3 linked regions of the Astyanax mexicanus genome follow. The protein of the gene in region 3 binds, or shares a complex with, the protein of the main gene of each other region. Links are inferred from orthologs where the notes say so. Each region holds a gene or a part of one and is shown on either strand. Other genes may lie near its edges. The genes, in order: tmem67, tmem17 and cc2d2a.

Region 1 (10,684 bases), on a different chromosome or scaffold from region 3:
AAAAAGAGAAGAGGCGACTCATATATAAAGTGTATTACAAAAGTATAAAAAAACCTTATTAAGAGTGATGAGATAATAAGTAAATTTGATATTTAATTAAAAAATATTCTTAGGCAGAAAAATAGCAAAATATAGTTAGGTACGATTGTCCAGTCATCAACAAACACTATAGTGGCTCAATGGTTAGAGCACTGGGTTATTGATGAGTCTTGTGGGTTAAATGCCCGAGGAAGTTAAGCTGCCACTGCTGGGCCCTTAAGCAAAAGCCTTAACACTCACTGATCTGCAGGTGCCACAGTGAAGGCTGTACATACGGTGAGTATGTGTGTGTTTACTGCACCGCTGGGTTAAAGGCATATGCCAAATTCAATCTGTGCGCAACACTCATGGTAAACGTGAAGATCTTTAATAGTGAAGTATGGGAGTGGCAGCACTACACAGAAGTGGCTGAACATCTTGTTGGACATCAACTATATTTATAAGTATTACTTCATGATAATACTGGTTTGCTTAAAAAAGGACAATATTTCTATGCTATTTTTAAAGAAACTTGTCTAAGATTGTTAAGCCTTTAAAAAGGACTGAGGAATGGAGTCGGAAATATATTGTCATTACAGCATCCCCATTTCTAAACTAAAAAAGCTAACTTCACATACCAAACATGTCTTGTCTGATCAACTGCATTGAAAACATATTATACTGATTCTTTACCAAACTATTCATATTAACAGGGATCCAAGAATAAGTCATTTGTGGGCCCCATGTACCACTCCCATGTACCACATAATCCTTCATAAATAATGTTAATGTAATGGTACACATGTAGTCATTACTAAAGGCTATAAAGGACAAGGTCACCTGTTGCCTTTGGCATCTGGGGCAGAAAAGTCTGGTTCTGTTCCAATGCAGGCCTCACATACAGCTTCTTGTAGAAGAGACCCGCTCACATTTCTTTCCACTAAAAAACACAATAATTAAAACACAATTATTTAATTATTTAATTCAAAAATCTATTATTTTGAATAATTAAAAATGTATTTTATACAAAAACTATTTTCTCACAAAAATACAGAAACATAGATATCTGATAGAATTTACATTTAATCATTGAGTGCTTTCAGCGAAAGTGTGCATGTGTGGATGCTAGCTATTCTACTATATTCATGTCAGTGGAACACCATTGATTCTAACTGTGGTGGCTATATATTTGTGGTGGTTGAAGTCATAACATTATATTTAGAGTTTTCACAATATTGCAAGACTAATAGACTTTAGGAAGTGCTGATATAACATAAATATTATTTTACTGTTTTAAGCATGCTTTTACTCATAATGGATTCATATGTTTCTTTTGCCACATAATGGCTACACTGTGACCTTGTACCACAGCTAATGTTTAAATCACAGCATCAGACAGAGACTGCATGCATTTAGGATATAGGAGTTGTACAAGCAGGAAACCCTTGCTGTCAAAAACACAGATTATAGTGTTATAGTGCAGATATTTATAAAAACACATTATGCACTTGCACCACAGAATACAACACCACTGAATACAATATTGAAGGCTGCTCTGATAAAGATAAAGACAAGCCTGAAACAAAATAAAAGAGTCCTCCAAGGCCGAACCTTTTCCTCTGTCTATTCAAATGTGCTCCTCACTGACATTCTTTCACGCTGTGTGTATTCAGTGTCCTGTCTGTTCTACACTGGTAAAAAATAAAGGGTCCATTATGTGATTTTAATGTGCAAGTAAACCCTTTTTTTCTAGTCATGACATGTTGCATGGCTATGCATATTTTAGGGATGCACCAAATATCCGCTTAATTAGATTATTTGATCAAACACAACAAAAATACCAAATAATGTATATCAAACATCAGTGTGCTTTGTTTGTATGTCTTCTGGGGTATTAAAAATGTTCAGCTTTAAGTTTAAAAAGCAAGATATAATAAGGATTTGAAATTAAACCACAGTATAAGGTATTTTAATGTTGACATCATAGAACAGATTTAACATGGGATCAAGATGTCCACAAGTAGCCATCATGTATTGTTAATACGTCTGTTCGATCTAAAATACTCACCCAGGATTTTTCCTTCAGGACACTGACATTTACCATCCTCCCCCACAGCGCTTGGACACTGGATACACTCGTAACCATCCTGACTAACACCCTGCAAAATACAGCCGGGTTATTGTTTAACTGTCTAAATGCATATTATAAACATGGTAATATATTTAAAGACACAGAGCGGACAGATTAATACCGGTTTTGAGTCAGGGCACTTTTGACAGGTGACTGATCTTCCATTGCTGGTTAGCACCTTGAAACCTGTCTGACACACGCAGCTCAACCCTGTGTCAGAGCACAAACCTCAGGTTAATGATAATAAGCTTAGTTAAAGTTAGCAACAGCTCAGATCGCAAGACCCTACAGCAGATGGAGGACAGCCCTCCATCACTGACATCTACACCACAGGCTGCATCCACAAAGCCACCAGCATTGTAGAAGACCCCACCCATCCCTCACTCTTCGCTCTGATGCCGTCCGGCAGAAGACAATGGAATATCCATGCCTCCACTACCAGACTCTGCAACAGCTTCATCCACCAGGCAGTCAGACTCCTCAACACACAAAGACGGAATTGACCCCCCCACCCACCAAACAGCCACAAACTGACTATTGTATTGTTGTTCCATGTTGCTCCATGGTTCCGAAGGAATGTAATAAGGCATGATATGGTGTAATAACAAAAGATTTGGTTTGTTGCCTGAGGCAACACTATGCCATAAAGCAGTGGTTCTCAAACAGCTGTCTTTTCAGCTACAGCTGTATTTTAGCAAACTTATAGACTGTGTTATATCTGTTTTATTGCTCTTTTATATTTGCATTGTTCATTGTAATCTTCATGTTGTTTTTTAGGTGGACAATTTCAAGATCTGTCCAGGGACAACGGATGAAAAATAGCCTTTAGGCTAATTCTGGTGCATTTACAGTAATGTTAATGCACCAGTTGCTCTTCAGCGCTTAAAAAGCAGAAGTTCGCTCCTTCAGATGATTTTATCGCCGGATGCCAGATTGGACCTGGCCAAGGAGATGATGACAATATAAAATGCAGACTCTGTGCAACGTGTTCTGGAAGCACGTCCACATTACGATGCAGAATTTGCAGTTTCATATAAAACAGGGGTCAGATCAAAGCGGGGCCGAGAATTTCACTGGGGTATGCTGATCGCTTTCTGAGTGTAAATTCTCCTGGCACTTGTCAATAAACTTGTGAGCGTTGGAACATCACTTTTGATCTTGAGAGTCTTCATTCTCCATACAACGAACACGCAGGACTCAGGTGTGGTAAAGAGTTCCAGTCCAACAATATTATAATAATATAATTGTTATATATTATCTACTAGAGACAGATTATATCTGTCCAGTATAATTTATTTAACTTTAATCCTGGATATATGGAGATATATGGAGTGCGTTATTAGTATCATGACATTCTGGATCATTGACTTCTGTTACAAATCTGCTAAAAAGTTTTAGGGGTGTGCCATATCATATTATATGCAATAATAAAATGTAATTTAATTTTGTAGTAGTGTATGCTTTATTTTTTTATTCAGTGTTTTGTCATATAGCCAACAGTACGGTTATCGTCAAAATACCATGAAATATTGTTGTGGTATTATTTTAGGGCCATACCACCCACCCCTACTTGTAAGGTTTAGTTTGGCCATAGAGGGTTAACTTCACTAACGTTAATCTAGGTAACTAGGTTAAATAGTTAGCTATGCTAGTTAGCTAACTATCTAACAACGCCATGGTGGTGGTAGTGCTATACAGCCCCAACACAACAGTAAACCAGTGAACAGAAGCTGTATCAGACAGATATATACCCTGAATCTGTTTTATTATCTAAATTAAAAGCCCTGTTCCCTACCTAGCCACAGTTAGCCCGCAGTTAGCCCCGCTAGCTCCTGCTGCTGCTGCTGTTATTTAGTTAGCGTTAGCTGGGTTAGCTCTACCTGATTTCCCGCTGATTTGATTCGCTCCACACTTCGCGCAGGATAAACTGGATATATCGAAATACCCCCCGGGACCGCAGTCCGCCGGCTGAGAGAAAGATATAGAGAACTGCTCGCAGAAAAACGGGTTAAACTGCAATAATATGAGGAAAAAGCAGAGGAAAATAAGCGGTGATTGTAGCGTCCCCGTCGCCATGGTGCAGAACAAAAAGCCCCGCCCCTTCCGGCGATAAACACTCCTTTCCTCTCCCAGTTAGTTCAGTTATACAGCTCTGGAAAGAGATAAGAGAGCACTTAAAAATTATGAGTTTCTTTGATTTTACCAAATTAAAAACCTCTGGAATATAATTAAGAGAAATATGGATGATCACAAGCCATCAAACCAAGCTGAACTGCTTGAATTTTTGCACCAGGAGTAAAGGCATAAAGTTATCCAAAAGCAGTGTGTAAGACTGGTGGAGGAGAACATGCCAAGATGCATTAAAACAAGGGTTTTTACTCCAAATATTGATTTCTGAACTCTTAAAACTTTATGAACATGAACTTGTTTTTTTTTTTGCATTATTTGAGGTCTGAAAGCTCTGCATCTTTTTTTTTATTTCAGCCATTTCATTTTTTTTTTTTTTTTTTTTTTGCCAAAAAAGCTCTAAGCTCTAAATGACAATACTTTTATTTGGAATTTGTGATAAATGTTGTCCGTAGTTTAGAGAATAAAACAACAATGTTCATTTTACTCAAACATTTACCTATAAATAGCAAAATCAAAGAAACTGATTCAAAAAGTAAAGTGGTCTGTTATATTTTTTCCAGTGCTGTATGTTCCAGTGATGGAAAAATATAAGGATGCTATTTTCTGTCCTCAATCTCTGTTTAGTCCTTAATATATAAATGAAACCTAATGAACTGAAATATGCATTTTTTTTTTCATTCATTGTATTTTTTTTTAATATTTGATATTAACTGTATTTTTATACCACAAACCATCCCTAAATAGTAAAATAAACTATTGCGTTGCATTTATTTTTTATTTATTTTTTTGCTGTAACTTTTGGTAGGACAGTAACGCAATTTCAATTCACTGTATGTCCTGTACATATACTGTTCTGACAATAAAACTACTTGACTTGACTATGCAGGACTCAATAAACAGAATATACTCCCTCTTTTTCCCTCCAGGCCATAAGACTCTAAGTACAGCAAACTAAAAACTCTGTGACACTTTTTCATTCTGGCCACTATGGTCATTCCAATGGACATTGTTATGTCTTCTTGTCCTTCCAGGACTTCTCTTTGGGTGTTCTTGGACGGTTGTCTTTCTTGAAATAATACTCAGTGCACACTGCCTTCTTAATCGGAACAAAATATTTTGTTTCAATCAGAAGCAAAGTGTGGGAGAGAGCTTGTCAATTCTCGGTGTCCCAGTTCTCTCTCTCTCTCCCAGTCTTGTGTTTTGAACAGCTTATATACTCTTTCACAGTCACTTATATGGTACTCTGCATACCTAAAGAATTCCAACCACCCTATTTACAGCTTCACCATATATATAGAAATGACCTTTTGAGAAGCGGTACGTTGTTTACCTGAAACCACATGTGACATTCCAACATGTATAGAATTCTCAGAAATAGTTCAGCTGGACACATGAACCCATCTGGGCTAAAGGCTAGAAGGGACAAACATGCATAGTACAGAATACAATCAACATATCCCCATCTCTGTGAACACACCTTCTGATATGCCCTGTTATATTATTTTTTTATAGTTTTATCCCTTTTCTGTACTAATAGTTTATTTATTGCCCACTGTTTACATCTCTACAAATTTGCACTGCTAAATTTAATCTGGGTATAACACATCTGCGTTCTTGCACTGTTTGTATGGCTGACATCAGTTTTCACATCAACTGGTTTTCATTGTTGTTTTACTGTTTTTAACTGCACTACCTCCATCATTACACACAAACTAAATAAGACTCTACTTGTTGTATTATTATCTGTATTATTATAGCTTATCCTTCTTTTGTAGCTTCTGAGTACTGTATATCTGCTATTGGATGTGTACTGAATTTCGCTCTGGGATCAATAAAGCATCTATCTAAAATAGAAAATATATCAAATATACAGAATAAACTAAAAATGCATATACTAAATATACAGGGATATACAATAGTGAATATACAGAATAGAAAATATACTAAATATACAGTAATATACGAAAATAAATATACAAAATAAACTAAAAATGCATATACTAAATATACAGTGATATACAATAGTAAATATACCGAATAAAAAATATACTAAATATACAGTAATATACGAAAATAAATATACAGAATAAACTAAAAATGCATATACTAAATATAGAGTGATATACAATAGTAAATATACAGAATAGAAAATATACTAAATATACAGTAATACACGAAAATAAATATACAGAATAAAATAGAAAATATCCTAATTATGCAGAATAAACTTAAAAATATACTAAATATACAGTAATTTACAAAACGAAAAGCGCATAATAAAATAGAAAATAAACTACATTTTAAGAAATATGATATTATTATTATTAGTAGTAGTAGTATTAGTATTATTCACACAGTAATATTAACTCTGTTTCTTTAAAAGTTCGTAAAGTTTATTCACAGTTCCATTGGCTCTCCAGACACTGTTCGCCCCGCCCCCTGCAAAGCCTCCTCCCCGCCTATTGGCTGTGCACACTTCCTGCCGCTCCGCCCCTTTAAAAGTTGTGTGGAGAGAGCGCGCTGCCTCTGTCTGAAGCACGAGGCGTTAGGTTGAGGCTGAGCTCGCTGTGAGGCTTGTGAAGCTTGTGAAGTGAATAAACGCGGGTGTTTGGAGCGCGGTTTAAGAGTAGTGTCCGTTTTTTCAGGAGAACTGAGAGGTGAGTGGGGTGTGGAGGAGCTGGCAGTGAACCGTTTTTCCTGTTTCTGTGTTTCAGAGCTGCTGGTTCTTCTTCTGCTGCGGAACAAAGTAGGGGGGCAGGAGGCTCGTGGGGGCTGCGGTTCAGCTACACGGGGCTGTACCGCGCTGTGTGGCGGATTAAACTGCGCCCGATGCGGTTTCTGGGTTGAAATTCTCCTCAAGCTGTGTATTCTTTTGTGTTTTGTATCTCTCAGCAGTGTCACGTGTTCGACGAGGCAGTTTCCCGCCATCATGGTGATAGTGCGGCGTTTGCTGGGCCTCAGTGCCGATGCAGGCTCTGAGGACATTCGCGCCTTCTTCCACGGCCTACACATTCTTGAGGGTGGAGTTCACATCATTGGTGGCAAGAGAGGAGAGGCTTTTATTATTTTTACCACAGAGGAAGATGGACAGCTGGCCATGGAGCGCTCTGGGGAGATTCTCAAGGGATCATCGGTAACCCTTGAGGTTAGCAGCATAGCTGACTTGAAACATAAAATTGAGTTACGCTTAAAAAAGCAAAGAAGCTCAGGAGTGGAAAACAAGAAGTCTGATGCAGAGAGGAAGAAGGAAAAAATGGAGAAAGAGGCGGAGGAGAAGAAGAAAGCAGAGTATAAAAGAAGAAAGCTGGAGTTGGAAAAGAAGGCATTGGATCCAAGGCCAGCACCAGAACCGCAGCCATCAAAGTCACCAACAGACTTGGGCACAGCTCTACTACTGGGCCTAGTGGCTGCTATTCAAGGATTACAGTCAAACCATAACAACAACATCATTATCAACAACAGTAGCAGCAGCAGCAACAACAACCAAGAAAGCCAAGCCCAGTCTCTGCCAGTCAGTTCTCACCCATTACCTGCTTTACCTGAGCCATACCATTCTAAAAACCATACAAATCAAAGAACAGACCATCATACGTACAACAACAATAAAAAGAAAAACTACAACCACAGCTACAAACTGCAGGAAAGCATTCCACAGCCAGTGAGAAAAGTGCATATTGAAGAAGAAAAAGAAGCAACAGCAGCAGCACCTGAGAGAGGTAAGGCCAAGACCAACTGCAACGAGCCTGGATATCTTCGTCTTTATGGGCTTCCCAACAACGTGACCCTACAAGATGTCCGCACTTTCCTCCAAGGCCTCTCTGTGCTGGATTTCATACCAAATGTCTTCCTAGGCCGCGACCAGTGCTGCCTAATAAAGGTGGCTACTTTGAAACAAGCTGAAGAGGGCCTAAAGTACAGCCACATGAGCTACATGGACTCCTATGTGGAGGTAAGAACGGCCTATGAAAGGATGTGGAGCTACGCTTTAGAGCTGGATGATGAACATGGCCCCTGTTCCACCACATCCTCAGAACTGGACCACCGCCTCTCTCCAGACAGACATTCGTCCTGGACGCCGCCACTTAAGCGACGTTCAGAAGACAGGTCGCTTTCAGGATCTCCAAAGCGGCAGCGCTTTGACTCTCAGCCCCCTGGACAAGTGCACTGCGTTATGGTAAGGAACCTTTCTCCAAAAACTACCAAAACCGAGATAAAGGAGCTATTTGGCTGTGTTCACATCCCAAACAAGAAGATCATCCATCTGCAAAACTGCTGGGGACAGCGAACGTCCACAGCTTTCATCATGTTTACGCACCCAGAGGATTACGCCGCAGCCATGAACATGGATGGTACACATTATGGCTCAAAAGTGCTAGATGTATCATCCATCACAATGGAAAAAATGAGGGACATAATGTACAAAGAAAGACATAAAAAGGCTCAGAGACCAGCGTATCACAGAGAACAAGACTGGTCTGAGCGTACCTGTATCTATGCTCGGAACTTCCCAGCTGATGTTCGGAGAGGGGAGGTGAGAGACTTTTTCTGTCTGTACCAGATTGACGAAAAAGATGTTACACTCCTCAAGGATGAGAAGGGAAACAGTATCGGGGAGGCGGTAATCAAGTTCATGTCTGAAGAGGCTGCCAAAGAAGCTTGCAGTCTGCATGGAAACATCTTTTTGGGACAAAAAATTATGCTTACCTGTGTTTCACCACAGCAGATGAAGACTATTCTGCAGGAACCACATTAAACCAAGAGCTCTGAGAACATTCCAAGGAGAAGGACTGTCAAAATGTGCCTGGACGAATAAACTGTCAACTGTACATATAAAAGACTTGCAAGTACTACAGCACTTGTCTTAAAGTGTTAAACTATTTACATTTAAATGTAAATGCACATTTGCATGAGAAACACAGTCGTACAGTCTTAATTCAAAAGCCTGGTGTTTTTCCTTGCCCAAATTAACAGTGGTCACTATAAAGGTTTTGATTTCACAACTGTGTTTCTCCTGTCTAAAACATGTTACATGTTTAATGTTCTAAAAAAAGTTTTTTTATTAGTAATGTGTAATAAAAATGTGAAATGCGCATTGAGATGCAATCAAGTGGAATTATTTTCATGGTTGCAGTGTGTGTGCACACACTCATGCCAAATGGTATGGCTGTGTCTGAAACTGGAAATTGCTTAGTTGACTTTATAACCTGCCAGCTCAATACTAGATATTAGTGTTTACTGTCATTAGTATTTTCACCTAATAAAAAAAGTACATTGATTACCAAACTATAAATTCAGATGTTATTGAGTGCCTTACTGCATCTGAATCCTATCCATGTTTAAGTTTCAGATACAGCCTTTAAATAATTCCACATCTGTATGTTTGCTCATCAAAAACGAGGTATATGAGAAAACAGCTGCCAAATCTTCATGTGTGGACAGATACTGACGTTTTGTTTGTGTTGGTCTGGACTATTCCAGGACATATTGTTGTTGCCTAAAGACAAACTTGTTTTCTAGTATAGTCGTTTGTACTAGAAACTTTACAAAAGAAGAAAAATAACATTGATTTATGGAAGACAGTATAAAATGTACTGTAAAAATAACTGCATTTTGGAGCATTCCTTATGATTTAGTTTTCACACATTATAAATTACAACTGGAGAGACATGTTTTTATTTAGTCAGCAACAAAATATGTTTGTAAAGTGTTGAGATGGATGTAAAGATTCTAAAGTGACTTGTTAGTACAAGTAGTAGTAATTTCTACACTCAAGCAAAAATGTTCTATATAGCACTAAACTACACATAATACGCATTGATGCTGGATGCCAAATGCCCTACGCTTGTGTTACTGTTTTTCTGCTATGAACACACCTGATCCAACTTATTAGCTCATTAACAGCCCGTTTTAGACTGAAGGATGCGTGTTAAAGCATTAAAACATGCAGGGCAGTTTTATATAGAACCATTTTGGTTGTTACTGAGTCAAACTTCCTTTAACAGGGCTCTCACTTTTTAGTTAAGCATTTTCCAGGACATACAGCAGTTTAAGACAAGGTAGATTTGTTTGTTTTTTTGACAAGTGTAACATAACACTAAAATAAAGGTTATTTAAAAGTTAGGTGAGCTTATCTGAACTTTAAATCCTGCTTTAAAGTGATGGATTTTGTTCTTGCTGGAAGTCAGGGAAAAGTTAATATAACTGAATCTCAGTGTACATTCTACACATAGTTTATGTACAGATAACAAAGGGGTCATTTGGAATCTTAAGTAATGATTTTGAAGATATATATTTTGATTCCAGTCATAAATAAATGTGTTCATGTCACACACCTTTGTCTTAAAAGCTCCTGTTTCACTTCCTGTTATGTCAAACATATGAGCGAAATTAACCACAGCGTTGGCT
Region 2 (11,195 bases), on a different chromosome or scaffold from region 3:
TTCCCGGGGGACCTTAAAAGATGCTGTACCAGCTGTATACAAAGGACAATAAGTGGCAAACAAGCTTCTGAAAAGTAAGTTATGTTTATTACCTGTGATTACCACGGTTGTGTGCATATTATTAAAAGTTCTGCTTCACAAAACGCCTTGTTTGCCACTTATTGTCCTTTGTACACATAGTGAAGTCCGAGACGTTACTGAAGACGCAGCTTAGCTGGTACAGTATCTTTTAAGGTCCCCCGGGAAAATTCCGTTGTGTTGTGACTCACTTCCGTTGTGTTGTGGTTCTATTTGCAGCGCGTTTTTCTAGTTGCAGCGCGTTTGTCTATTTGCTGCGCCTGTGTTGTAATTTTGATGGATGTGTTTTGTGCTTTTGCAGCGCTTTTCCATTTGCACTGCGTTGGGCTTTCTCGGCCACCGTAGTTAACATATCATTGTGTCTAAAAATCTTCTAAACTATAGCATTCAAAATGAATGCTGACTTCCACTGAAAATCAAGAAGGTATTTCCTTCTCCTGTAAAGCTGCTACTTGATTTGTTTTTTGTTTGACAGCAATGATATCCTTGCTTGAAGTCCCAAAGTCAAATGCTGTCAACAGACCATTTTATGTCAGTACTCAAGCATTCAAGACAATCACAAAATAATAATAAGCTAAGTCACTTACACACATTTCACAATTCCCACCTCTCCTAAGGCCCACTTCTCCTCACCGGGGGGAGGGTACTAATATTAACAGACTAATAAATGATAACCTAGATCCACTTAGAAACTCATTACAAAAATATCTCACACACTCCTGACATCACTTTCATGTATAAAGGCTTGTGTCACCACACTGGCATCATGTCCACCACCCTAATAAGCTGACTCAGAAACCAGCAGCAGCAGTCAGTTCATACTCTAGTGAGGAGAACAGGTGAACAAACATTACTCAGAAGTCACAGGAGAAGATCAGCATGAGCTTCTGCACGTGTAGATGCTGGCAAATAAGACTTCACAGTCCTGTGAGGAATTGCTTTGTTGTTTCCCAGATTGGATAGAGAAGATACTGCAGTGCTCAAGCAGCACTTCACACAGGAGGACCTGAAGAAGCAGCATGGCGTCTCTCAGTGTTCCTGGCCTCCATGGTGGCCGTCAACTGCAAAGGGTCTCGACCGCTCGACGCCCGAGTGGGATGGTCACCCCATATAAGCCTCGAAAGTCCAGAAAGAAGCTGCAGGTGATTATCTGTATTCTTTTTGTGGAATTGTTCGAGAGGTTCACCTTCTTTGGGATTGTTTGCAATATGATCCTCTTTTGCACCATCAAGCTGGGATATCACAATTACCAAGCTGCCACAGTCAACCTGTGTTTTGTTGGAGCCAGTACACTCACACCTGTTCTTGTGGGCTGGTTTGCAGAGACGTGTTTGGGGAGGACAAAAGTACTCTATCTTTGCGCTCTGCTCCATTTTATAGGTAAGTTGACACTGTTGTTATTAAGAAACAATGCAAAAAAATGTATGACTAAAATATGTAGAAAAAACTTACAATGTGATTCATGTATGTGTTGATTAAAATGTGTTTTAATAATTTGTTTAATGTGTGTTTGTTAAAATGCAGATTGTATCAGCATTTTTAAGGTCTGTACAATGCACACGGTTGTGGTAAATGTTGTTACATGAATCAGATGTTATATGGTCACGATGGAGAACATGTTTGGAGTGGTATATCAGATACCACAGCATGGGATTTGCTGAAGGCATGTAGACTCCTGTATGTCAATATATTCCAAGAGTCCAACACTGTCTTACAAGCCTTGAATGAATAACAATTCACATTACATTAAGTCCTGATTTTCTGTCCATAGGTACTGCCATGCTCCCTGTTGTTGCATTCCCCTTTGAGGATTTCTACATTGACACACACAATATTATTCACCGACTAGAGCCACGAGAGCAACAGCTTCTCTTCTACGTTGGGCTGCTAGCCGCTGCCCTGGGTATTGGGGGCTTCCGTGCTATTCTATGCCCGTTAAGTGCCTATTACCTTCAGGGTTATGACCAACACCAGATACTGTCCTTTTTTAATTGGTAAGACATTAAATCATTAACTATAGATAATTAAGAGCAAATCAAAATGCTTGTACATCTCTGGAAGGTTATGCTATTGATGTAAAACTGATGGTATTTATAACCACAGGCTCTACTGGCTTGTGAATCTCAATTCTACAGTTGTGTTCCTGGGGATCTCCTATATTCAGCAGTCTGTGGGTAAAAACCTGGGCTTTCTCATTCCCTTCACCTCTGTTCTATTGGCTCTTGTTGCGATACACATGGCACGCAACAATCTCATCTTTCATCCAAAGAAAGGTAATGGACTAACAAACACATACAGATAAACAGATATACAAATATACACAAATAAAATAAATGTGCTGTTTATATAATTCTGCATAGATCAAAACTTCTGCAATAAATTATATGCAATAGATGGTATTCATTGGAGTCCTGTTTCTGCCAGAACATGTCGTTTGGTCAGACTGAAACAGCCAAACCAGCTATGAAACAAGTGGTCATGTGTTTAAATTGAAGGCCGTTGGGCTCTAGAGCAACAGACCAATTAGAAACTAGAAATTAGGTTTCCTTACATTGTTATGTACATTGATTTCAACAAGTTTTTATATTTAATCACACAAGGGCTCTTTCCCATTTTGTGTCTTCACAGCATTTACAATGAACGCTAATGCTGCCACTCAGTATACTGCCACTGGGCATAATCACACAGACTCTCCCCAACTGTGATATCATATGTGTACCCTCTATATATAGATGACACTGAATTTCACATAACAGTATTTGATCATTGTGTCTTCTTCTCTTCCTTCATTCCATTGACCTTTCATGTGTGGGAAAACACACAGCCAGTTTGTTGCTGACCACACTGGGTGTGTTCCTAAACTCCTTAAAAATGTCCTGCCTCCATTATCGTCATTTGAGTGGAGACGTGAATAATTGGCTGGACCGTGCCAAGGAGAACAATGGAGGACGCTACAGTGAGACCAGTGTTGAAAATGTTAAGATCCTGGTTAAGCTTTTTCCTCTTTTTGGACTGCAGCTGCTCTACCGGGCTTGTATAACCCAAGTAAGTATATATGCGAAACAAAATTTTCTGTTAATGTTTGTTACACAATAAAAAGGTGTTTGTACGATTTGACCTAAACTTCCTATAATTGCACCTATAAAATACAAAATAAGTGGACAAAAGTACTAAAACCCCTGCTCCTGTCCAGGGAAATCTATTAGATTTTGGAGCATTGCTGTGAGGATTTGATTGCACTTATACCCCTCCAGTCCACTACTGGCATTAGGCATAGTGCCAATAGATTCACATTTAGCTGCTTTGGAAAAATTCCTATACTATTGGTAGCACTCAGGGACTAGACAAGCAGTTTATATATGTCCATTTGTACATTTGTGTCAGCAATAGCTGCAGAAGGGGTGTCCACAAACATTCAGACATATCGTTTCCACCACTTGTACATAAACTGATCTTATACATAATGTAATGATGAACATTTAATCTTCAATTATTATTATTATTATTATTATTATTATTATAATTCATATTATCTCTGTTTAGGTATTATCTCTGAGCGCAGATGTCCATTCCACAGTTGTATAACCAATAACATAATTTGCATCTTCACAGATTCCATCAGGATACTACCTCCAGACCATGCATTCAAATCTGAACTTCAATGGTTTCCTCCTTCCTATAGCAGCTATGAATGTGATCAGTATCCTGCCATTGCTAATTTTAGCACCACTACTGGAATTTTTTGGCACCTGTTATCAGTCTTTGAAGAAAACACCTCCTTCTCCAGCCAAATTCATAAGTATGCATGTCCAATGAATTATAAGTAAGTGTGACAGGTATGGAGTGTAGTAAGCTCTACTTTGTGACATCTTTTCTTGCAGCAGCGGGACATGCCTGTGCAGCTCTGTCTGCACTAGCTGCAGGGATTACTGAGATCCACAGGAAAGACTTCTCTCAGGTGGAGCAGACACTGTCAGGAACAGTACTACAGGTGTCCTCAATGGCCTGTTTTCAACTTGCACCTCAGTATGTCTTACTGGGTATAGCAGAAGCATTTGTCACACCAGCATGTAAGTATGCATTTTAATAATGTGCAAAACATTAAACACTAGGTCCTATTACTGATTTCCAAAAGATTCACAGATTATTATAAATAGACCCAAACTGTCTAGCTGAAAGCAGCTCATCTCTACTATGTCACTGATATCCTTGATTCATGTAATTCATGCTTTTTTTCTAATCCTTTTACTTTTAGGCTCCCTCATCTCTTTCTGTATGACTCCTAGTAACCTCAGAGGCATCTCCCTACACTTCCTCACTCTCTTCTATGGAGGAGGATGCTTTCTGGGTGCTGTTCTGACTCAGTTCTTTTATCTTGTTTCTGGGGGTAAGGCTTTCTCAGCATTTTGTTAACACAAAGCAAAAACTCGGGGGCAATGGTTCATCAGCCACTGCTAATAAAGAATCATTTTCATTTGATCATTTCTGCCTTTAGGGAACTTCTATCCAAATACACTCAGCGACGGCAATCTGGAGAGATTTTTCTTCACTTTGGCAATTCTGATGACCATAAATACCCTGCTGTTTTGGAGATTATCTTGCAGGTAGGCTACAAATTCATATTTTGTTGTATCATAGGAGCCCTTAGTGTACACTGGAAACACATTATCAATACCAGAGTTTGTTCATTCTGACCTATAAGGTATGAAATGCATCAGGAGGTCTACTTAAAGCAGCATTAGTAACATAGTATTTTTAGTCATTGGCTTAACCTAAAGGTGAATAATCCATTATGAGATACTGAACCATCACTTAAAGTTGTAGTAGCATGTGAACTGAGTAGTACTATTACAGGATTTTACACAAATATGTGTCCTGCTCCCTTCACCAAAGATACATAGTGATACCATTTGCTGAGCCTGGATTAGCAAAAATATGAACAAAAGTCTCAAAAAGATAGCAGTGTTGTACTCTGTTGTTAAATCCCACTGTTCTCACTGCATAAAAAGTAAAGTTTTGTTTTATTGTTTTATTCAGATTTAATACATATAATAGTGTTTTATCTATGACAGATGTTATTTATTGTAAATTATTTAATTTAAACAATTCAAATATATCCCCTTGCATACAGTATAACAATACATCTATGTACTGAATTGTAACCCCTGTATCGTGATACGTATGGTCTCTGCATGTTCTTTACAGCCCTAATTATCACAACAACAATTAATTTAGAGCAGAATTAATGCAGCTTAGTAGACCTGGCATACATGGACAAATAAGCAAAAAGTATGTTTTGCAATCTTTTTAAGCAGGATTGAAAAAGTGTGGTACTGTATGAGCTATACAGCTTTAGTGGTTTGGCTGTGGGAGTTAAATCCTTGCTCCAGTCTCTCTGTGTTTTCCATATGAACCCTCCTGTGTTTTTTCCTATCTCCCAAAAACATACCAGTAGGTGGGTAGGCTATTCTAAATTACAGCTAGATATGAGTAAATGGAGTGTGTGTAGTACCCTGAGTTACACTGGCAACTTCTCTAGTAAGTATTCCTGCCTTGCACTCAAAAATTCCGCCCTCACCATGACGAGTGAATGAAATGGGGAAATGGGTCCTTAACACATCTGATCTACCTAAAACATGAACATAAAAATGTATGTAAGGTATGTCAAGTTTTAAGACAGAAAATGTAGACTTGTAGGTTGATACACAGAAGCATGGTTGTGCAACTAATTCTGACAGTATTGTGTTGATACTGCACATTGTTTTTTTGTTGTGTTGTACAGGTACACAGACCTGAGTGCTGAACTGTGTAAAGAAGTAAGACAGAGTCACCTGGCTGAGAAGCTCCTGCAGCATAAATCTTGTCTCCGATTCTACGACACTGTGGATTACACTGGAACATCAGCATCCTTGGAAATGATCCTCTGACTCCTGCATGATGATGGTCAAGCCCCAAGATGCTGGCGTCACACAAACATGAAAGACTTAATACTGGCATACATAATTTAGGATTTTGCTTCCTTTTTCCTCAAAACTGTGCTAGTGAATTGGTTAATGTAACTGAGCCATTTTAAATCTACAATAAAGTTATTTTGTAATATGACTTTTATGAGGAGATTCTTCTATCTTATTGTTCTTATTTATTTAGGTTTTTAAAAGCCATCGTATGTAAGCTAACTAGGTTCATGAACAGTGGTGGACAATAGAGAAGTAGCCTGTGTATTTTGTCACTGTACTATTTCCTTTGGTTACCTTTGGTTTATATGTGCAAAGCAAACTCACCAATCAGGGTAGAGCATGCACTTTATTATGTTTTGACCTGTTGGCCATGGCTACTTAGTGCCAGCTTAAAGTCAATGCAGTGGTGTGAAATTTTGGGAGTGTCTCTGCCTACATGAATGATGGAATATATGGAATATATTGATGTAATATATTAAATATTAGTAAATATAGTAAAGGAAAACTCATCTGTGAACTTGAGTTTTAAAGGAATTGTTTAAATCTGTTTTATGTTTTTTTTTACCTTTATCTCTACCTTAAAGGAGACATTTGGTGTGAAATAGACTTGGAGTGTAGTGAAACATGATTACAAGTAATTGGATTATATTCCAGAGCTTTACAATTTGGTAAAGTAAAAAAAACTCAACATTTGTAAATTGGTTTTAGACTGACTTTTGTCTGGATATGTTTGTCGGACCTGGCAACCCTGATTGCAGAGCTACAGCAAGTACAGCGGTTCCCTGCTGAACACGCCCACAGCTGTTGCTAGGAGATGATGTTCAGCAGTTAGCGTTAGCGTCAGGCTGAGATGTGTGCTCCATCATGGATCTACCGGAGCCCATAAGAAGACGTTTGGGGGATTTTTCCAGAACTGTTTTCGTGGATCAGACATTTTCTAAACTTACCCCTGAGGATCATGTCAAATTCCTGAATCAGAGTGAGTCTGTCCTGATATCCAACTGTGAGCTAGCTGGGTTACATCTCATGCGTGCTAACTAGCTAACCGCTAAAACAATAACATCAGCTAGGTTAGCGTTAGCTTTGGCAAAGAAGCTGCAACTAAACTTCTAAAAAGGAAAATGAACCTCACTAACGTTATCTGGCGTGCAAAGCTGAACGCACATGAGCTACTGTGTATTTATTGTCGTGTTTTAATTGGCTAAACCAGCTTAGCTAGCGTTATCTAATTAATTAACTAGCTTACAGTTCAGTGTAGTAACCTAACGTTAGCTGTTAAATGTGGTAGACTAGACACTCAGTTCTCCCCACTCTTATCATGTATTCACTATACAGACAGAGAAGTCGTGTCCAGTTTGCCGCTTCAGATGTCCCTTTTCTTCAACCTATGGTTCTTTCCTCTGTGGTGGATCAGTGAAGTGGTGATGCTGCAACTCAAAGTAAGTAATCTAGCTAGGTTAACTAACGCTAGTTTGGTAACTGTCTGACCTGGATGTATGTAGTAACTAACCTAAGTTAGTGAAGGTAGCTTACCTTGTATTCTGTTTTAGTACCCAGCCCTTCCAGACTACTACAAGTTCATCTTAATTACCGTCCTGATTTTAATGACCCTCATCGAGGGTATCAGACTCTACCTGGGTTACGCTGGGAACCTGCAAGAAAAGGTAAAGACTTCTCTAATGTAATATCCATACGCATCTTTATTGAGAATCAATGTCAAATCTGGTTTATTGTCAGATCACATTAGGTGTGCAGGTAAGTTAAAAAAAACTTAAGACCACAATAGCTATATACAAAAAATATATATATACACGCAACATACATTGAACATAATTTTTTTTATGAATTATTAAATTTATTTTATACATTGTAAATTAATGTTGAAGGCATTTAGGGACACACAATGAATTATGTAGTGGAAAAAAGGGGTTTGGCCTCCACAATCCCCTATCCTAAACCCAACTGAGATGGGTGATTTGGGATGAGCTGGAGAAAACGATTCCAGGTAATACTACCTAATGAAGCCACGGAGAATATACCAAGAGTGTCCAAATATATCCTCAAAGCTAAATAATAATTGTGACTACTAAAGTAGCCTAAAATATATTCTGGTTTGTTTCACATTTTTTGTTTGCAAAATAACTCCACATCTTCCTGTATAGCTTTAATGTCTTCAATGTTAAATTTACAATGTAAAAAAAACATAAAAAGAAAGTTAACACATTGAATAAGATGTGTGTCCAAACTTCCTGACTGGTACTGAATATAAACTATATACATGTGTAACATTACTCTTCACATATAGACAATAAATAAAATGTGAAATCTAAATGTATGTAACAGCATTAGTGGAGAGAGTAAATAAAATGCAGGAGCTTTTTGTTTGGCAGGTAATAATCAAACATTGTTTCTCTTTGCAGGTTCCCGAACTGGCTGGATTTTGGCTTCTAAGTCTCCTTCTTCAGTTTCCATTGACTCTCTTCCTGCTTTTTAATGAAGCTATACTCATTCAACCTTTGGAAAGAGGAGTGCATATCATTCTCGCTCTATTTATTTTAGCAGAGGTATGGGCAGCACTCTCATGGGCATCCTTTAATTCAATTCATCCTTTTTTTAATTAATTTTTACTCATTTGTGTTTGATGTTTTACCCCAAATATCATTCACAGGCTCTCTCTGGTTTTGTTGCCCTTCGTGCAATGGTCAGGAACACCGAAAGCCGCTTCCATCTTCGGCAGTTTAATGGAATTCAAGAACTTAGAGCATAACGAATGCTTCTAAATCTGAAGATCTGCACACGTTTAAAGAACCAAAGTGACCATAAATAGCATTGGTGGGAAATATTTCGGATCATTCTCTAACAATTTTTTTACCAATTATTTTTGTCATAGTATTTTTTTGTAATTATTTGTATATATTTTTTTATTTAAAAATATATTAAAAAGTACACATTGTCTGTCTTACTTCATATAATATGAAAATAAAAATAGATGCCTAGATTCAGAAAGGATATACAAATAATGGAAGATGGAAAGGTTGCATCTAATGTTTTAAGTATATTAAGCATAAATACATTTCTTCACAATATGTTCTGTCCATTATGAGAAAACACAGCAGTCACGTCACATCAGTGTTTTTTATTAAAATAGCTGAAAAATACATAATTGTCTCAAAAAGATGGTAAAATATGAAACCTGTCTACAGCTGAACAAAGACACAATAGATGTTTCTGTACTTCATGGCCTACATTCATAACCTGGCCTGCATCATTTTTGTGTATGTTCCTTTTTTAGGTTAAGTTTGTTTAGATAATTTTAAGACTCTACTTAGTCAATAGTAAACACTGAGCAAATTCGACAAATATCAAATCGGTTGTGTTTAACTAGTAACAACTAGTTATATTTGCCAATATATGATATCTTTGTGTTATCAGAAATTATGTAAGCAGTGAAAGTGATTACCTGTCATCTGTCTCAAAGCAGTATTGGATGCTTTTGGTTTAGTCACAGCTTAGGGTATGTGTTAATATTTAATAGATACTAGCTACTGTATACATACTTATTTGTGTGGTTCAACCCATTTTTAATTTAGTTATGCATAAATCTGAAACAACTAGCTGACATGTAAACTTGCGCACAGCTGGTGCAACCAGCCCCTGGAGAGAAGAAGTACCAATTGTGAAACTTAATTTAGAGCCCTACTTATGTTTTCCTTGACTTTAGAAACAAGCACAGGTCCTAGACCATTACGTGTACTCTGAGATGTTTTAGAAACACTCCTTTTGCTTTACCAGCCATGACATGCTGTACTATTGAAGTATTCCTGACATGTGTGTTTTTGCCTAGAGGTAATGATAAACATGCATACACCAAGACGCTCTTTCCTAGAATATCGCTGATTTGAACCTTCTGCAGACCTTCTGAATCCATCGTTTCTTTGTTGTGTTCTGCGCCTGCTCCTTATGCGGTGTTAGCCTTTTCCAGTAGTATATTTCCGAAGTCTCTGTACAGCATGCTTCCTCTCTGTAAACAGGTACAAAACAGAGTTCTTGCATTACTCTTTGCCTTAGCCTAAGATATAAGAAGAAACTAATCCCCTTAAACTGGAATGACTACTTTTGCACTGGTCTTTATAAGGTGCTAACTCAAAATAAAATAAAATAAAAGCAAAGGATATAAATCATATACCTGCCTTCACTCTGCTGGCCCAGGTAAAGCTGCATCTCCCCAGGGTGCCGACTGCCTTGCACTCCCTTCTGGCAACTTGCCCAGTCTGAGACCTCCTAGTCCAGCCTGGTCACCTGAGGGCCTGTCATGACAATAGTTGTGAGGCATTCCAGTATACAGCATTCTGGTTTAAAACGCTACGAAAATAAGAACCATGTATAATTTTAAAAAAAAGGAAAAAAGCTGAAATAAACCTCTTGTTAATTCTTCTTAGATTAGGTAAAAAGGAGACGTCATTTTTCTCTTGCTTACTGAGCTGCTCTGCTTCATTCGACTGCATAGAGTCCGGCACAATTACAGGAGCTAAGACAAGAAAGAAAGAAAAAAATAATAATAAATTCTAGTTTCTACACTTGACACATATTAGAGCCCCACAGGACCAACACAAAGTAGGTATTCTTTGGACACTGATGTGTGTGGTGTGTTAGTGTGTGTTCTGGTATATGAATAAATCTGACACAGCAATACTGCTGGAGGATTACCTGCACAAACTGTGCAGCAACAAATGAGCTTCTGACTTTACATCTACAAGATGGACCAATTAGGTAGGAGTGTCTAACAGAATGGACACCATGTTCAAAAACTCCAGCAGCACTGCTATATCGAATCCTCAATCACACCGGAACAACTCACACTAATACACCAGCACCACCCTGTGGAGTCCAGACCAGTGAAGGACATTGTGAAAGAAGGATAATAAAGTTTGCACAGACACAGAAGGACCACATTCTGTAATTATAAAACTACTAAGTGGTTCTATATGATCATTGCAGCTTATATGATGTGCAGTAACAAAGAGGCTGTTTTAATGTTGTGACTGATGTACATAATGTATATAACAAGCACCCTATTTACAGTCTGTGACCTAATTTTATATGGTGTACCAGAAACCAGGTGCATTTAGACAGAACTTAGACAGACTTCCTTGACCAAAT
Region 3 (10,929 bases):
ACCCCTGATCTAGTATATTCTACACCAAGCACAATCAGGTCAAGCTTTTAGTGAAGAAGGAAACAAAGCAAAGATTTTTTTTTGCAGGTGCTTAAGCAATGCCACTGAAGAGCCATTTTTGGTTCTATAAAGAATTAGTTACAGGGTTTTTAAATAAAAAAACTCAGTTTGAAAGTGAACCTAAATGTAAACCAGCTGCAACTGTGCATGTTGTGTTCACACAGCAAGTAAAGAGTAATTTTTCCTGGTTTTCTTAAGTATAAATGAGATCTTGGACTACTTTTTGTATAAAACATAATTTTTAGAACTCCAGATCTGATACTTTCAGCACAAATACTGCTACCCTTCCCTTTTCAGAACAAAACATAATAAAACTATTATTATGTTCTCAATTATCTAAATGCTGCAGTCTTTCCACAGTGGTACAACAGCACTTTTCTATTGCACCCACTTTTATTTTTTATATTAGCAACTTTTTATTTAGATTTTCATGTGTGAGATTTTAGATATCTAAATTGGCCAGTCTCAGTTCTCAGAGTCTCACAGTTAAAATTCAGCTACTCTTGATAAGGCGTTTTGAATTTGACAGAATAGCAGCTTGTTAAGGCAAGCCTCCATGTTCTGTGCATTCTTATGAGTTGTACAGAACCTTCAAATTGATAAAGAACCTTACTCTCTTGTAACCAAAAATGTTTCTTCTATGGCATTGCTCAAAGAACCATTTGTGGAACCTTTATTTTTTTAAGAGTGTTGAAAGGACCGAACATCAGGGTAAGAAACTTTGTTCTAGAGCACAGCAGGGCTGTTCTGGAACATGATAGGACAGAACACAGCAATAAATGTTAGAACGCAAGCTGAGGCGAATAGAACCAACCTCCACCGCAGTGCGTTCATTCTCCTTAGTCACATCAGAGTCGGAGGGAACCAAAGCCTAACAGTAGAGTACAGAGAGTACACAGAGCGTCTTACCAGCTTGTGTGTGTGTGCTATGTTTGAGTATGTTAGTATGTGTTCATGCTGCCCCAGCACCTCAATAGGCATGTTGAGTCATGCTCTTTTGCTGAAGTCGTCTGCAGTTAACTATAAACAATGTCTTTGTGTGTGGATTCAGTTAAAGCTGAGTGTGTGAGAGTGAGCCCCAAGCCCCACATTAATGTATACTTTTGTCAGACTTGCAAAGTGTTGCATTTTAGGGAAATCCCATGGATTAATAAACTGACCTACTACTATAGCATGCTGGCTAATAGTGAAAGTACAGTAAGTGATTATACAATTGAACAAACAAAATTAATTTGCAGACAAAAACGATCTATTTCTGAGAAAACATAGAAGCCAAGACTCAACCACACTGCCGCAACACATACCTGAGTGTCATCCTTCACTTTCCCCAGAGACTCCTGCAGAGCCCTCCGTTTCTTCCGCAGCTTGTCCCTCAGATCACTAGGGAAGAGCACTAAACAGTCAGGTGACCTTAAAACTGGAAACTGCACACACACTCTGTGGAACAGTAGGCTGTGGGGTGCGGAAATGCATGCACTAACCTGAAGGCACTGATTTTGAACTGTCAGGATAGAATAAACTATGTGCTCATTTTTTTTCTCCCAGTGTAATCAAACCAGTTATTCACACCAGTGTCATTATTATACCACATAGACCTTTGAAGTCATGCCTCATTCTGTAATACTCATGATTTGGATCTAACATTGATTTTCATTGACAGAAATAAATGTTATATAGTAAATAAATATGTCCAGAGGGTCTAGCACACAAAACACAGGGTTCTGAACAGATTTTTTTAACCACGATATATATAACAAAAATAAAATAAAAAAATAAAAAATAATAATAATAAATAATAATTTAAAAAGGGAATATTTTTTTTAACAGTCAGTTATAAAATTATGTTCTATCTTTCAGTGTGGTTGGAACAAAAGCTTTTACTTTTTCATTTTTTACAAACATTAACTAAACATTTTTCTGTGTCAAAAGTTAACAAGAAAATCAGGAATTGACTTCAGAGTTTTTATCTTCTTTTTTTAAGGTTTTGTACACTTCTGCCAAGATATAGGGCACAAGCGCTATTTTTTATCCTTTTACTTTGTTTCAGTAAAAAGCAATCAAATCACAACTCAATATGTATTTCTCACTTAAATAAGGTTTGGGCAAAAACATGATGCTTTCATGTTTTTAGTTAGCCTGGGTGCTACTATTATTATTATTATCATTCAATGTGCTTACATTGTAAATCTAATATTTAAGACATTAAACCTATACAGGAACACATGCTGAACTATTCAGTAGACGAAAAGTGTGTTTTATACTTATAATTCTTCTAAAAAGCCACATTTATCTTTGAGGACAGATCTGCACACTCTTAGTATTTTAATCTCAGTGTCTTCATAAGGTAGAGTCACCTGGAATAGTTTTCTCAGCACCTTGAAGGATTTTCTGGAGGTGCTGAATAGGGTTGCAGCGGTAACCAGTTTCACGGTATACCATGGTATTAAAATGCACGGTTATCATACCGTGTGTGTTTGCTTATTACCGGTAAAACGCAAGCCAGCGGAGAAACTCACCCGCGCATGCGCAACTCTGCTCCGCTTCAGCTGCTCAGCACACAGCGGTGAGAACAGCAGAAAGTGCATCAGACTAAACAAATCTCCGTCCGGCCAAAAAAAGGCTAAACTAAAATCAGCAGTGTGGGACTATTTCAGAGACCCGCCGAACGCACCCGAGGATGGTTATCCGATTTATAATCAATGTGGCCGTAAAGTCACAGCTAAAGGTGGACATACGTCAAACCTGTTCTCCCATCTCCAAGAACACCACCCCGCCGTGCAGCGCAAAGTATGTGTTTAGTTTATCATTTTAATCTGAACATAAATAAAATCTCTTTGTAGTCGTGCACAACCCATGCGGTAAGCGCCCGCAAAAGCGCTGAGTTATCCGAAATTTGGGCACGCAGGTACAGGCGTGAAGTGTGTGCTACGACGGATTCACGTGTCCGTGTAAAGGTGCTCGCCGGACTGGATGTGAAAGACGCCATTCATTTACATGCGTTAATTTTCAAATTCTGACGTGCCTGTTTTTCATGTGTTAAAACCAGACTCGGTGTGAAAGCCTTAAAATAGAAATCTCTATTGTGAGGATTATGTCAGAAATAAATACCCTCTTTCTGCAGTATCTGGTTATACACCAACTTGTATAATTTAAACTTAAATAATTGTACTGAATAGTTTAAACACAGGATCTTTACTTCTTAGAGGACATGTAATGTGTGACACGTGTGTGTGTGTGTGTGTGTGTGTGTGTATGTGTATATATATATATATATATTATATATATATATTTTTTTTTATATACACCCTTAATGACCTTAAGAGTAGTGGAAAAACCTGGTTTCCTTCACCTAATGGTGTACAGTTTATTTTTTTTAAGGAGACATTATCTATATAGTTGTTCCAGGTTTCTACAATAAATAGTTAATTGAACAAAAAACCTTTGTTGTAATTTCTTTAAGGGTCAGTTTAATAATATATGTAACAAACTGTGATACCGTGATAACCGTGATACCGCGGTATTTTCTGAGACGGTTATCATACCGTGAAAATCTCATACCGTTGCAACCCTAGTGCTGAACAATAGTTACTGCTTTTCCTTTACGCCTCGAAGCTCCAGCTCATCCCAAATCACCAAGCCCATTTTCAGGGTTTAGATCAGGGGATTGTGGAGGACACACTTTTTTGTTTACTATGTAATTCGACTGTGTCCCTTAATTGTTTTCATGTCTGTAATATTAATCTACAATGTAGAAAATAATTTAAATAAAGAAAAAAAATGACTGAAAATAGGTGTCCAATACTTAGACTGGTACTATATTTGGTATCATCATTTCTTCTCTACTACTACTGTTTCAATAAGTTAGCTCCAGTGCTGCTCACCTGGGAGTGGACATGATGGAGGAGGAGGTTCTAGTTTATTCTCTTCTGAATGATATTCAGCCTGTGGATTGTGTTTACTACATTTCAGAGGGCAGGTGAGAGAAGAGTCGAAGCTTTTCTTTGGAGAGAACGACAGGGTTCACCTGAAACCATACAGAGAACAGCATATTTAACCCTTTAACAGGCCAGCATTTTAATCAATGATATTGCACGCATAAATCTTGAGGATTTCTATTCAAGCATTACTAAAGAAAATCCTAACTGTAACTGTACTGGAAATGATTAAAAATATTGTTGAGAAATATATATATATATTTTTGTCAAAATTAGGCATAATGCCTAAAAAATGGTGCTTTCCAAAACTTTTTAAAATCCATGTTGTTGACAATACAAATGATTTTTTTTTTTTGTTCTCTAAACCTTGTGTTTTCAGAATGTAAATAACTTATTTTACTGTAGAGAAAAGGGGTTTGTATCACCTACAGTTGTAGCCCATGTAAGTTACAGTCCAAGGCCTGTTAAGGGGTTAAACCGTTAACGTTACAGCAAACCTGAAGAGTTCTGATAAAAAAAAAAAGATATCTTGTTAACAAACCTGTGAACTGCGTTTAGCAACAGGTTTGACGTTAAAAGTCGCTCATACGAGGAGACATACTGAGTTATATTTCAGTCAGCTCTGTCTAAATACAAAAAATAAAATATGGTTAACGGATAAAAGAGCAAGACTGGAGACAGAAACGGTACCGTTAGGTTATACACAGAGGATACTAAGCTAATCCCGCTGCTAGCTAGGTAAACCTCGGTTAACTAGTGAAAATTACAGCTTTAGCGCGTGTGTTTGTTATCCAGGCGGTTGTTATCGACACTCCGCTGTGATATTTAAAAACTGAGCAGGTCTTATAGCTTTATAAATGCTTTAACACGGTATCTATTCCTGTTTATTTCTCCACACTTACTGAAACACTGAGAGTTAGCCGCCATCCTGTTCCCCCGCTGCCTGGTAACGGTAAATACTTCCCCTCAACCGAACCGCTCACACAGCGCGACACACTACCCTGCATGCTGAAAGAGGCGGGGTCTCATCTCGCGGCCCGTCTTCTCATTGGCCAAGGACACTGTCACTCAACAAACTGCGATGAGGTAAGTTCAAAAGAAAGCTGTGTTTTATCTTGTTCTAAAAAAATGTTTAAAAAAAAGGTAATAAAAACAGAAAAGTGCGTTTTCTGAAAAATACTGAATGAATAAGTAGAAGTGTTTCCCACTTCCATTCAGATTCACTAGTTTGCTTCTAGTGGATACTTGGGCAAAAATGCCCTTGCTAGATAGTTGCTATGGGGATGCTAAGCTGTTGCTAAGATGGTACTATATGGTTGCTAAGCTGGTTACTATGGGGTTGACTCCAAACTGTCAGTAGGTTGTTACTGGTGGTTGCCATTAGTGATGGCATAGTTACTCAGAAAAAGTAATCTGGGCTCTGAGTGGTCCAGCGGGCTAAGTGCTGCCACTATGAATGGGAGATTGCAGGTACGAATCCTGTTCATGTAACTTGCTATCAGCTACTTGGCCTTGATCTCTCTGGGTGAGTACATGGCACTCTCTCCCCACATCACACCAAAGGGTGACGTGGTTCAGCATAAGGCGTCTGTGAGCTGATGTATCTGAACCGAGTCACTGCACTTTCCTCTGAGCTTGTGTCTTTACCCTCCTGGTGTTGGGGCATCACTAGTGATAGCAGGAGTCCTAATGAGAGGGTAAAATGGGATAAAAATATAAAAAAATATATTTATCTGATTACTGATCACCCCTTGAAAAACGTTACATGCAAAAGTTATGTTATGGATTACTTGATTTTCTTTCTTTTTTTAAAATTACTTTCAAGTTACTTTATTAGTGACTTTCAGCCTCTGCCGACATACCCCCCCCACACACACACGCCCACACACACACACAAAAATCTTTGATCAGAGGCAAATCAGCAATCACTTGTAGCTCTCACACTTGTGTAGTATACAGTATTGAAGGACGCTCACCCAGGGTTGAAAGAGTGATCGCAGATGTGTCGCAGACACTAGGCAAATAAAATTAATTAATAAATGTTGTCAACACAGAACAATATCAAATGTTACAGTACCACAGACAATTTTTAATGGTTTTAAACTCCAGTTATAAGTCTTTTCAACATGCCCTGCCTTTATCTCCAGCATCAACTCACCAACCAGTCAGCTCACAGTAACAATATTGCTACATTTACTGGGTAAAATGGAATGACGTAGAATAAGAGAACAACGGATCGAAAGTGTTTCTTCTGTATTTTCTCTTTCCCCTGTTATATCAGGAAAACACTGTTAAATAGTAGAGGGAACTTGTGAGTGAGTCCTGAAGAATGGGGGCGAATTTTAGCTAAAAGCTAAAAACTTAAATTAAAAATAGTATTTCTTTAATTTTAGAAAGCAGAATAATGTATTTTACTAGTAAAGCAATGAACGCATACATTTCCATACAGAAAACAAGTTTTAGGCGCTAGCAATACTGCTACTCTGTGCTGACTGGTTGGTGAGCTGATGCTGGAGTTACAGCCAGTCTAAAATTATCAGACATTTATAAACTTTAACTCTGATTTTGCTCAGTTTCTCCATATTGTTGCTGTCCAATGAAAAACAAGAATCTTCTAAAGAAGAAAAAAACTTCTAAAGTTTTAATAGAAGTCAATGTAAAATGTATTTATTTCAGGTCATTTTAAAGTAGTCAATAAATGTTGGCACAGTGTAAGGGACAGTTTGTGTGTTCAAATTATGTAGTGAACTAAACATTGGACAGCAACAATATGAACCTATTCATTTTGTACTCCATTCAAGAGGTATTTCTAGTTCTGTACATGTTTAGTTTTGCCGTGTTCTCATGACAAAACGTGTCGTTGAAAAGAAGCCAGATAAGTCTGCTTACATGGTTTTCACATGACGCAACAAACCGTGGTTTTACTACAGAGGAACTGATAAAGCACACCCTGTGTTGCCTGTAAGTCATGTAGTGTGAAAGGTACAACAACTGATATGCTGCTATGGTATGCCTGTTGGTTGCTATGAGGATTATAGATAATAATTCTATGGTTAATGTGGTGTTGCTAAGTGGTTGCTATACGGGTGCAATGAGTCTTGTGAAACATTTTTGTTCCAGGATCAGAGCATGTTCTTACTGTTATGATTTACACATACACATACCTGTAGTGTTTTTATTGGCTTGAAAATATGCATTCCAGCTGATGATGATGATCATGTAAAGATGGAAATTCCCCTCTGCATGTTTTATCTGAATACACACCGGAGGAGGAACCAAGGAATATTTACTGTAGGAGGAACCAAGAAATGCACTTTCCATTATAGAGAAGTATATTATATCTACACACTTAAAATGGTTATTTATTAACTCCTCCGTAATGTGTGTATCTCTGTAGTTGGTTTATCCTCATGACAGACTGTGTTACTGACATTTACACTTTTTCTTTGCAGAAAAGAAAAACAAATGATGAGACTTCAAATGATGTGACACCTAGACTTTAGGACTCTTATGAATAAGCTAATGATGCAAGCTAATACATCACAGTTCACACAGCCAAGACTCAGCCCTGCATCCTAAGCCTCCGGAACAGTACTATCTGAAAACTGTCAAAACTGCATTCAAGGGACTAAACATTGTTCGGTTTCAGATCCAATGAACAGAGCAGTAAAAACAATGTAATTTTTTTATAGACTGTACAAAGTTTTTATAGACTGTATTATATATGTATAATGTATAAATATATATATATATATTTACAAAAGTATCTTATGTACCAATGTGTTGATACAACTGTTACAATAAATACAAAATATATGTTCCACCATCAGATTCAATTACAGTAATGTAGACATTATATAATATTTTCATAATTAAATTGTACATTAGTTACCTTATCTTAAGAAATATATATAAAAGCACCACATACTAGACCATGACACTGTACTGAACAAGAAAATGCATTGCATATACACAGTGTTTCTGGGCTAAATAACTGTAAGACTAGAAACTCCAACTTGGTACATGTTGTGTTACATGGGTCCAGGTCTGCTAACACCACATTAAGCTTATCCTTAGTCTAAAATTATTACTGTAAACACTTGTAAATCCTTTTGGGACATGGAAAAATAATGGTACAGACACTTGTCTGTCACAATTTACTATAAATTACATACACTGTGGCAAGATATAGTTGGGAAAAGCCTAATTCTGTGCATGGAAGTGTTTTTCAGCCCTGGTCCTAAAGGTACATTGCCCGGAACAGTTTAGTGTTTTTCCACTGTTTTACTGAATAAGTCTTAGGCTTTTTGTAGTGGTTGGGCTCGCTCTAGTAAGTGAGCCCTCTGAATCAGATAGTAAACAGACCCAAGTGACGGTGTTACTCGAGGCCCCCCTCTGGTGGCTGGAGGGGGCCCTGACCAGGGGCCAATCCTTACACTTTTAATGAGCTAATTAGTTGTATCAGGTGTGCTGGAAGCAGAGTAAACACTATAAAGTGAAGGGCAGTGATCTTCCAAGCCCAGGGTTGAGAAACATCTCTCTAATGAATGCTTCATTATTTACGTCTAAGTGTAATCCTCTGACAATGTATCTAGGTAATTAGTATCTGCATAGAGCAAAAACCCTGAAAAGAGACTGTCCGCCCATCCAGGATCAGTAAACAGACCGTTCTGATCCTTATAAAAGATCTCTAGCCACACTTCATCCTCTGGGTTGAGGTACATCACTGTGGATCCAGAAGCCACGTCATGGTTCCCGGTGTTGGCATCAAAAGTCTTTATACGGAACTCTCCATTCCGCACTAGGCCGATGGCCAGGTGCTTATCAGCTAGTGTGATGTCATAGGAGAAGTAGTAGACTCCTGGGTATGCGCAGATGAATTTGCCAGTCTGCGGGTTGTAGTGCCCACCTTCATCGAAAAGGACCTTGTTGAATTTGATTGGTGACTGCTCAGCTGGGTAGCTGCTGGTGATGCCCACAGAAAAGGCTGATTTGGGCACCAGGCTGCCACAGAGGCACGTGCCTGGGGTGCCCCGTGGTCCCCGTTGACCCTTCTTTCCTCGCTCTCCTGGTGACCCTGGTGGTCCCGGGGGTCCTGAGTCTCCAGCATCACCCTCCGGACCTCGCTTCCCTATGGGTCCTCTCTCTCCACGCTCGCCGAGTTTACCCGTTGGCCCCACTCTTCCTTTAATGCCTGAGAGAACACAAGCAGGACAAGCAGGGGTTAAAATAACAACAAACCAGAATTCATGATCCTGAACATAAGAGCTTATCTTTGAAACACAGTGGAGGTGTCCAGTGTCATGGCTTGGGCTTGCATGGCTTTTTCTGGAACATACCCATTAAACTTTATTTATGTACAAAGGAACTCTAGAAGTCTATAGAAGCATTTTGTCTGTTCGTTTAAAGAAAGTTGCTTCATCGTGCAGCAAGATAATGAACCATAACACTCTAAATTACAAAGAACTACATCAGAAGTAAGAATTGGAAGGTTTTAGACTGGCATAGTCAATCTTCTGACTTAAAACCTATCAGGAATGCATTTTACCTGCTAATGAGGAGTCTAAAGAGAGAAACGCCCCAAAACAAACACCACCTGAATCAGGCTGCTGTGAAAGCCTGGAAAAGCATCACTAAAGAAGACTGCAAAAGTTGAATGGGTCATAGACTTGATTCAGTTATTGCAAGCAAAAGACTTGAACTAAATATTTAAGTGGCAGTCCATATTATGTGTTATATATGTGTATATTGTGTTTAATGGTACCAGTGTGCTGGAACAACCATCCCTGCTAAGACTAATATATATTTTTTATAAAAACTGGGGTACTGGGGAGTTCTTCTGGCCACGTCACATGTCTTTACGTACTTATGCCACATGTACAGCCTCTGAAAGAGGATCCGGCTCAGTTTTACTGAACGTGAGTGGCTGGTGGAGCAATGGAGACTTCAGAAGGGGAAACTCATTCACTCATAGTAAAACCAAAGTGTTTAGTTGAAGTAAAGTTTCTGACTGAGCACGCTCTCTCTCTCTGACAGAACGCAACCTGGAATTGGATTCATCCGCTCTGAAAGGAGACCACATCACATCTGCCCAGTTTAAAATGATTCTTCCAAATGCTTGGTGCAATTATCCATTCTCACCAGAGAGGGCCCTAAATCCCAAAACTTACAGACATCAGCTTCAAGTATTATTTATTTCACTCAAAAAACAAAAGAAAAATGGGTAGGTTCAGACAGATGGTGCTTTTCTGAACTGAGTATCAGATCCAGACGGAAATTAAAGTTGAAATGTTAATGGTTTGTTTTATATTATAATTTTTTAATGTCAAAACAATTTTTTTTCAGTCTAAAACAAAAAAGGAGTTTCCCTCACTGTTCCAACACTTTTGAAGGGGACTGTATGTCTCTTGAAAAAAACTACTCTTTTGATTTACAAAGTTATGGCTTGTAATGCACATTTTTTACCGGATAAAGGTTAAATAATAACTGAACAGTAACATAAAGTACAACATCAGACTTTTACTGTGGCTGGTCCCAAATGGATGCCTGCCAACAACACATCTGCTTGAATGCCTGTTATAAGTGTAGGGATAATTTTATTGGCACTCATAGTGTTGACTTAGGTAGTGATGACTGATGTGGTCACCAGCTGAAATGGAGCCATGTAAACAAACCAAATCACAAATCTGTCATTGAAGGCTTACAAATTGTCAGCTTTTCCATGATGTTTTTCAAACATGTTCTTACCTGCCTGGCCTAGCATGTAGACGTATATTCCTTTGTGTGCACTACACTGCCTGACAAAAAGTATAAGTGGGGAGGTGTTCTCTCGTGAGTGAGACTGAACACTGGACAGTGTGCTCATGGCAAGTTTATGTGAATTATGGAAGTTGGAATGAGGCCTGATAGTGGGTGCCAGATAGAGGAGACATAC

What was found.
Region 1: cc2d2a (region 3) and tmem67 share a complex: the UniProt entries of both Homo sapiens proteins name them as parts of the tectonic-like complex. The link is inferred for Astyanax mexicanus from reciprocal best matches to the Homo sapiens genes CC2D2A and TMEM67.
Region 2: cc2d2a (region 3) and tmem17 share a complex: the UniProt entries of both Homo sapiens proteins name them as parts of the tectonic-like complex. The link is inferred for Astyanax mexicanus from reciprocal best matches to the Homo sapiens genes CC2D2A and TMEM17.

The regions. Positions count from the first base shown.
Region 1 is NC_064408.1:110,658,943-110,669,626, reverse strand, and holds the start of tmem67 (meckelin), read right to left. Parts: upstream 4,250-10,684; 5' UTR 4,226-4,249; coding exon 4,030-4,225; intron 2,360-4,029; coding exon 2,271-2,359; intron 2,178-2,270; coding exon 2,087-2,177; intron 959-2,086; coding exon 859-958; intron 1-858. Other genes in the region: rbm12ba (RNA binding motif protein 12Ba), read left to right, coding at 7,209-9,032. UniProt on the Homo sapiens protein: Required for ciliary structure and function. Part of the tectonic-like complex which is required for tissue-specific ciliogenesis and may regulate ciliary membrane composition.
Region 2 is NC_064409.1:54,421,636-54,432,830, reverse strand, and holds tmem17 (transmembrane protein 17B), read left to right. Parts: upstream 1-6,831; 5' UTR 6,832-6,899; coding exon 6,900-7,014; intron 7,015-7,370; coding exon 7,371-7,474; intron 7,475-7,585; coding exon 7,586-7,699; intron 7,700-8,455; coding exon 8,456-8,599; intron 8,600-8,703; coding exon 8,704-8,802; 3' UTR 8,803-8,981; downstream 8,982-11,195. Other genes in the region: slc15a5 (solute carrier family 15 member 5), read left to right, coding at 1,098-1,458, 1,850-2,072, 2,182-2,351, 2,903-3,123, 3,691-3,877, 3,960-4,148, 4,334-4,465, 4,574-4,682 and 1 more; agbl2 (cytosolic carboxypeptidase 2), read right to left, coding at 10,228-10,342, 10,455-10,563. UniProt on the Homo sapiens protein: Transmembrane component of the tectonic-like complex, a complex localized at the transition zone of primary cilia and acting as a barrier that prevents diffusion of transmembrane proteins between the cilia and plasma membranes.
Region 3 is NC_064420.1:12,023,213-12,034,141, forward strand, and holds the start of cc2d2a (coiled-coil and C2 domain-containing protein 2A), read right to left. Parts: upstream 5,045-10,929; 5' UTR 4,898-5,044; intron 4,085-4,897; 5' UTR 3,956-4,084; coding exon 3,942-3,955; intron 1,441-3,941; coding exon 1,365-1,440; intron 932-1,364; coding exon 875-931; intron 1-874. Other genes in the region: complement C1q tumor necrosis factor-related protein 7, read right to left, coding at 8,561-9,189. UniProt on the Homo sapiens protein: Component of the tectonic-like complex, a complex localized at the transition zone of primary cilia and acting as a barrier that prevents diffusion of transmembrane proteins between the cilia and plasma membranes.